Linked DNA regions of Callithrix jacchus. The protein of the gene in region 1 purifies or fractionates together with the protein of each later gene. This does not show direct contact. Links are inferred from orthologs where the notes say so. Each region holds a gene or a part of one and is shown in the gene's direction. Other genes may lie near its edges.

What was found. Proteins that work in one complex are often made in the same cells at the same time.
Region 2: the proteins of STRADB (region 1) and CAB39 purify together in Homo sapiens (affinity purification with mass spectrometry; 3 studies listed by BioGRID and IntAct, counting the BioPlex papers as one, with this or other methods). This does not show direct contact. The link is inferred for Callithrix jacchus from reciprocal best matches to the Homo sapiens genes STRADB and CAB39.

Annotation. Positions count from the first base shown.
Region 1 is NC_133507.1:122,530,284-122,533,926, forward strand, and holds part of STRADB (STE20-related kinase adapter protein beta), read left to right. Parts: intron 1-2,209; coding exon 2,210-2,331; coding exon of another isoform or gene 2,332-2,404; intron 2,405-3,610; coding exon 3,611-3,643. UniProt on the Homo sapiens protein: Pseudokinase which, in complex with CAB39/MO25 (CAB39/MO25alpha or CAB39L/MO25beta), binds to and activates STK11/LKB1.
Region 2 is NC_133507.1:152,182,163-152,186,505, forward strand, and holds the start of CAB39 (calcium-binding protein 39), read left to right. Parts: upstream 1-1,428; 5' UTR 1,429-1,814; exon of another isoform or gene 1,815-2,387; intron 2,388-4,343. UniProt on the Homo sapiens protein: Component of a complex that binds and activates STK11/LKB1. In the complex, required to stabilize the interaction between CAB39/MO25 (CAB39/MO25alpha or CAB39L/MO25beta) and STK11/LKB1.

The DNA of each region.
Region 1 (3,643 bases):
AACCACCTCTGGGAGATAAGAGAGATGGCAAAAAGGGGCTGGATCTTGAATGAGGAAGAGTTTGCTAGGTATTCTAGTCATAGGTTTTGTTACAGACAACATAAACAATCCTGGCTAACTTAAGTGAAAAAGGAATTTCACAGAATTATTGGCTAGAGAAATAAGCTTGGAAGAAGCCAAGAGAAGCTGTGTGATGAGGACTAGGACTGTGAAACAGGAGCAGCCTAGTGAGTATTCTGCCCGCCGCCAGACGCTGGCCCACTGCAGGGAGCTCTGACAACTGCTGCTGCTTTGTCCTTCACTCCATGCTCCAGTTGGCCAATCATAGGTCACATGCCAGGGTCAAGGAGACTAAGGGAGTGTAAGGATCTGACCTTTTCTGAAATAGCACATAGTGGCAAATGACCCAAAATTAGAAAGGAGTTTCAGATGGTGCCAATTCTAAAAAGGGAAAAAGATGTTTACCTCAGTAAATGACTGAGGAAGGATAGTTAGAGGGAGAATACCATACAGTTCCTTTGTGACTACAAGTGGGAACAAGGGGAGAGTAGGCAGAGATAGGAGATGAATCTGGAAAGGCAGGTTTGGAACACGTTGTAAAGGACTTCATGTAGTGGGTTTAGAATGACCTCCACAACCTACCCTTCTTATGACTCAGAGGATTTAAGTTGGAAATTTGGAATTTATTGTCCTTCTTCTAGAGAGACATTGTGGAATCATGATGACAGTAATAGCATCTAACAGGCATTACGGTGAACATTTACTATGCATTTTTTTCCTTTAACACTTTACCACTCCCATTTTGTAGATGAGGACCCCAAGGCGTTGAGACAGTCATACAGTTAGTGATTTGAAACCATATCTTTCTGACTATAGGATCTAAGCTCTCAGCTGCCACACTGTAGGATCTGCTGTTGATAAAATGCCAAATTTATAACAACTCAGGCAACAGTCAGGAAGATATAGTAGATCAGCCATGCAAAACCAGAAGTATCATCTTCATTACCTGTGTCTTTTAAAAAAATTACTGCACCTATATTCCATCACAGAGCTACTGAACCAAGGTTTCTGGGGAGTGGGGCCAAGGCAGAGGCATTTTAAAGTAGTTCCCTCAGTAATTGTGGCATGTGCTATGGCTGAGAATGCAGGGCATATGAGGGAGTCACTGCATACATCCAGGTCGAGAGGACAGGGCTCAAACCAAGTCAGTGACTCTGACACTGTGGGGAGGAGATGAATTTGAGATTAACTTCATTTCAAAAATAAAACTGACAAAATTCGGTACCATGGAGAGAGGGAGGGAACTAACGTTTATTGGGTGGATATTAGTAGGTGCCACTCTAGGTGTTTTATGTTTAAAAAGCTGACAATACCAAATGCTGGTGAATACATCAGGCAGTGGCAGTTCTTATACATTATTTGTGGGAAGGTGAAATGATTCAGCCACATTTGAAAACAAATTGGCAACTTCTTATAATGTTAAACATGTTTACCACATGACCCAACAATCTCTCAGATATTTGCGAAAGATAAGTGAAAACATATGTCTACTTAAAAGCCTGTACAGGAATGTTTTTGGCAGCTTTATAGTCACCAAACTGAAAACAACCTAAATAACCATTCACGTTATAAATGGATAAATTGCAGTATAGCCATGCAATTAATTATTGCTCAGCAATAGAAATTAACTGCTGATGCATACAACAACATGGATGAGTCTCAGAAGCATATGCTAAGTGAAAGAAGCTAAACACAAAAGAAGCTGATGACTGTATTCTTTTTAATACCATTTATGTGACAAAAATCAGATCGGTGGTTGCCAGGGACTGGGAGTGGGGACGGGATTGCTGAATAGCATTCCATTGTGTGAGTGTATTGCAATTGTGACTTGATATCAAGTCACAATTTTAGCCATTATAATAGATATGTAATGGTGTGTCACTGTTTTAATTTGCATTTCTGTAACTTGAGCAACTTATGCTTATTGGCCATTCCTATATCTTATTTTGTGGATTGCTTGTTTAATCCTCTGCCTCTTTTTAATTGGGTTACCTGATAAGTATTATCAATATTTTGAATCAGTAGTGTGCCTTTTCATTTTCTTAACTGTATTTTTTGAAGAGCAAAACTTTTCCATTTTTATGAAGTCCAAATTGACAATTTTTTTTTCTTCTTTAGTTACTAACATGAATTATCTCTCTGATTATAGGAAGAGGATTTGACAACTTGACTTCTGTCCATCTTGCACGGCATACTCCTACGGGAACACTGGTAACTATAAAAATTACAAATCTGGAAAACTGTAATGAAGAACGCCTGAAAGCTTTACAGGTAACAATATGAAGAAAATGATACATACTTGGCCCTCTGTATCCACTGGTTCCACATCTGCAGATTCAACCAACTGTGAATAGAAAACATATTTTTTTAAATAAATAATACAATAAAAATAGTACAAATAAAACACAGCATAACTACTTATATAGCATTTACATTGTATTAGAAATTGTAAGTAACCTAGAAATGACTTAAAATATATAGGAGGATGTGTGTAGGTTATATGCAAATACTATGCCATTTTATACAGGGACTTGAGCATTCTTAGATTTTAGTACATTCATGGGATGGTGTATAGGAGACTGTCAGGGGATACAGTCCTGGAACCAATCCTCCGTGGAGACTAAGGGATGATTGTATTTAATATAATGTTTATTTGAGGAGATTACATCTGTAAGAATTTTCTCACCCAAACTGATGGTTCTTCTGTTAGGGAAATGTAGATTTCTTCTAATTAACATGCAGTTACAAATTTGGAAAGAACACTTGGAAGCCAGATTCATTATATGAAAGAATAGATACATTCAAACTTTGATAACTACTGCTCTTTCAAATGACTATCATATTCAGAATGCTAGTCTGGAGTTTTATAATACCCCTACTCAGTCCAATCATAAATAGTCACAGGAAAATTGAAGATACCAAAAGCAAACAGTTTCCTTTTCATCCAGTTAAGCAAAATTAATTTCTGAATGACAAATTTTGACAGAATTGCATTTCAGGTATTTTATAATACCATTTTTATTGTCACGAATCATTTTTGATATAAAAGGGGAAAGGATTTTGTTTGGATATTGTTCCAATTCTTAGAACATTTATATGTGTACATGTATATTGCACAAACAAAAAAAGACTGGGAGAAACTATACCAAAATGTTAACAGTGGCTCTCTGTGAGGTAGTGATAGAAAAGATTTTTATTTTCATATTTTTATGTGTTTTTAAATTTTTTTTTAATAATAAGAACATAGTACAGTTATTAAGTGTATGACCCTAGCGGGAAACTAAGTTCACATTCTACTTCCACTTCTTTTTATTAATTGCATGCTTTTGGACAGGTTTTCTAACATATTTTAAAGTGTTATCTTCTGAAAAATGGGAAACATAATATCACATACTTGTGGAGTGGTTGTGAGATTTAAACAGATGAAAGCTCTAAGAACAGTGATTTCACTATTAAGCTCCCTTGAGTATTAGCTGCCATGACTGCTGTTTTCATCGTAAGGAAAAAAAGGTTGTTTTTAAATGTCTTGTCTTTTGTGTGTTTATCCTAGAAAGCCGTGATTCTATCTCACTTTTTCCGGCAT
Region 2 (4,343 bases), about 30 Mb from region 1:
CAGCACATTCTGGCTTCAGGGCCTTGGTCCTTCGGGTCCCTCTGCCGTTCCATACAGAAAGCTCCCAGGCCCTCTCTCTCCAGGAAGCCGATCCCTGGAGGAGCACTGCAAATAACAACAGGCTGCCTTCTCTCTTCACTTCATCCAGTGGTGTTTTTCTCCAGGGCACTTAAAACTGTCCAGTATTGGGCCAGGCACAGTGGCTCACGCCCGTAATCCCAGCACATTGGGAGGTCGAGACAGGCGGATCGCCTGAGGTCAGGAGTTCGAGACCAGCCTGACCAACACGAAGAAACCCCGTCTCTACTAAAAATACAAAAAATTAGCTGGGCACGGTGGCGTGTGCCTGTAATCCCAGCTACTCGGGAGGCTGAGGCAGGAGAATTGCCTGAACCCAGGAGGTGGAGGTTGCAGTGAGCCGAGATCGCGCCATTGCACTCCAGCCTGGGTAACAAGAGCGAAACTCCGTCTCAAAAAAAAAAAAAAAAATACAAAAATTAGCAGAGCGTAGTGACAGGTGCCTGTAATACCAGCTACCGGGGAGGCGGAGGCAGGAGAATCGCTTCAACTCGGCAGGCGGAGGTTGCAGTGAGCACTCCAGCATGGGCAACAGAGCGAGCCTCTGTCTCAAAAAACAAAACAAAACAAAACCCACAAAAAAACCTGTCCAGTATTATAGATATTAAGGTTTATTAGTCAATTATTTGTCAACTGTTTGTGCCAGGAGCAGAGACTGTTTCGATCACTGCCCCACCCCCTAGCATACAGGAGGTGCTTAAAAAAATAGCTCAATTACACATTAATAACAAAGAAACAAAAGTACACACATAAGGCATTTGTATGTGCCAGTTTTCACTGTCAGAGCTTTGTAATGCACTGTCCCGTTCATTCTCAGGTGCCCGTGGGAGGAACCACTATATTATTACACTTTTTTTTTAATGTGTGAGGAAATCCAGGCATAGGGACGTGAAACAGCCCACAGATAGCAAATGGTGGAGAATAATTTAAATCCAGGTTGCTGATTTAAATAGGAACGTTCCCATTAATCTGGAACGTTCCGGCACTTTCTATGCTGTGTCCCCCTAGATGCTAAAATGATCTGATCGCAAATAAGACAGAATCGGTCTACACAAAGTGGGCTGCGGGCCTTTCGCAGAAATAAGCTTGAAGAGTTGAGGAAGCGGTCGTTGAAAGTGAGCGTGCGATTCCCGTAGGAAGCGCGCTCAGGCGGAGAAGGGGCTGAGCCCCGCCTTGGAAGCCGCAGCTGAGGAAGAGGAACTGCGGACTCGGCTTCTGCTTTTCTCTGCGGCCCCTCCCGCTGGGGCCTGGTGTCAACTCTCAGCGCACTGAGTCCGCCGGCCGCTCGGGGGCGCCCGAGGCGGAAGGGGGCGTTGCGGCGCCGCCCGACGTCGCGTCCTCGGCGGCTGCGCAGTGCGCACGTCAAAGCCGGGCTCGGGCCGCGAGTGGGGCGCGGGGATCGGGGAGCGGCGCGGCCTGGGAGACACAGAACCTTCAGGCGCCGGGGCGGGGGCATAGGCGAAGACTAAGGCGGCGTCGAGTCCCGCAGCAGCAGCCGCAGCCCGAGTGAGAGCAGCACCGCGGCAGCCGCCGCGGGAGCCCCTGGGCCGCCGTCCGCCCGTGCAGCCGCCGCCGCGGGAGCCCGTCGCCTGAAGCAGGAGCGGGCGGAAGACAACGGAGGGGCCCAGCGTCCGAGCCACGCCGCGGGGACTGAACGAGCAGCCCGAGGCGGCGGCAGCCGAGGACGGGGACGGCGACGACGCGGAGGCAGAGAAGGGAACGCCCAGCCCAGCCCCGTGAGTGACCCCCGGCCCGGCCCTGCTCGTGGCGCGGACGCCCGCCCAGCTTCCGCCTGCCCCGCCGGGCCCTCACCGGCTCCGGGGCTGCCTCCATTTTCTCTGGTGGCGGCGGCCTCAGCCCGGCTTGGCCCCGGAGCCCGCGGGAGCAGCCGGGCTCGGCCTGCCCTCCCCGCCCGCCTCAGCCCGGGTCCCTCGCTGAGACGCTCCCCTTGCTTTCGCCGGCGCGGGGCGCCCGGGGGCCTGCGGTCCAGGCGCTCCTGCCGCCCCCTCTGTGGTTCTCAGGCCGGGTTGGCGGCGCGGGGCGGCCCGGGCCGGAGTCGGGAGGGCGGGGAAGTGCGGGCCGGGCCAACTGTCACCGGCAGCACCCAGGCTCCAGCGTCTCGCTCCCGCCCCTGGTAAACTTCCTGTTGTCGGGAGGCGGATACCAGCTTTGTGATCAGTTCAGGGAAATGCCTAACTGATTTCTCGTTAGGATTTGTGCGGTCGGAGCGTTCTCGAGTGCAATGGAACCATCCCGAGCGCGGACTGCGTGCAGACGCAGTAGTCGGCCCGCGCCGGAGGGATTCAAAGGTGAAGCCAGCCCCTGTCCCCTCCCCCGAGGAGCTGAGGCTCTGGTGTGGGAGATAAGACGCGTACACAAATAACTGCGATACCGGGAAGGAGGTGATAAGTCCTGTGAAAGAAGGACAGAGAGCTAGAAGGGCACCCGGCGGAACCGAACCGATCACTTCTGCCTAGCAGAAACCTGGAAGGCTTCCTAGGCGGGGGGTGCCGAGTAGGGTCTTGAAGGCCTGATGAGATTTAGGAAAGGAGGGTTGCAGAAGAGTGTGGAAGGGCAGCAAAAACGAGAAGACAAAGCCTAGAAATCATGGATCATTCCGTTTGTTTGCATAGTGCAGGGGCGGGGGGTATTGGGCTAAAGAGGTATTTTGGGGCCAGATCCTTGAATGCTGTAGAGGAGCTATTTGAGCAGCATTCTAAGAGAAACTTAGAGCTCATTTCTCAGTGACTCATAAGCCCGGAAATGTAGGCTAGGGGATATTAAAGGCGCTCTTGTGAAAGAAGAGAGAAGGAAGCCCAGTCAGGAGTTGACATTCTGTGCCTTGAATGTAATGCAGTTGAGATCGATTTTGACAGCTTCCCAGATATTCCCATGCCCAGGCTAAGCAAAGTACTTTTGCAGAAAGCCTCATTAGATGTCAGGCTCTGAAGAGATAATGGAAAGGTGTATATAAAATAAGCTCATTTCATACAGAAGGTTTTTTTGTGCGTTCGCTAACGCTAAAATGCATAAAAACTTCTTGCACTTTGTATTAAGTGTCTGCTCTTTGGAATTACCAAACTAAACCTACATTCTTTGAGGTGGCTTTTGTGTAAAATAACATAAATTGATGATTTTTTAAAAAATCAAATGGTTATTAATATTCTGATACAGAAAGCGGGACAAAGACCTTTTTGTAGAAAGGGTAAGGCTTTCTTTATTCGTTTTTATTTTTTATTAATTATGAACTCTTTATAGTAGAGGCAGAAGTGAAAGTATTTAGACCTATTTTGTGCTTTCTTCAAATTGCTAGCAAGTAATTAGCAGTTGTATTTGAAATCTAGACTCTGTGATCTGTGAAAGCAGCTTAGGGCCTGTGTTTTGTAAGCATGCGTTTGTTGTTTGCCTGTATGACAAGTGAATGCCACCTTTTTTGCAGTTTAAAAATTTTCCGCTTTTCGAAATAATACCTGATCTTTGTCAAAGCTTGCAAAATTCAGGGAGTACTAGAAAATCTTTAAAACATTGTCTTTAATCTTACCACTCAGATTTGGTTACTGTGAACATTTTTGCATGTTTCCTTTCCAGTCTTTTTCTGTGTATTTTTTCTCTGCATAATGAAATACATTGTATGCATATAATACACATCTCTTATTAAGCTTTTCTTGTCATTAAATACCTTTATATAAAAATATTTTTACTCAACAATGGAAGTCTTCTAAGTGTGTTATGTTTTTCTGACAAAGTTGTATTTTTTTTTTTTTTTACCTCAGATGAAGTGCAGTAGTTACACTTAATAACTACTGCTGTGGACAGAACTTTTTTCTAAAGGCTACTTATTTGATATTTATTTAGAGACCGTCTTGCTCTGTCACCCAGGCTGGAGGGCAGTGGCACAATCTCAGCTCACTACACCCTCCGCCTCCTGGATTCAGGCAGTTCTCCTGCCTCAGCCTCCTGAGTAGCTGGGATTACAGGCATGCGCCACCACACGCGAGCAATTTTTGTATTTTTAGTAGAGATGGGGTTTCTCCATGTTGGCCATTCTGATCTCAAACTCCTGACCTTGCGATCTGCCCACCCTGGCCTCCCAAAGTGCTGGGATTACAGACATGAGCCACTGTGCCCGGCCCTTGAAGTATGTTTATTACTTTCTCTGTAAGATTTGGTTCCTCTTGCTTGTTGAATAAAGTTTTTATTACTTGGCAGGATGTGTGTTATCATACTGTCTCCCACAGACGGTGATGAGCGCCTCCTCCCACCCC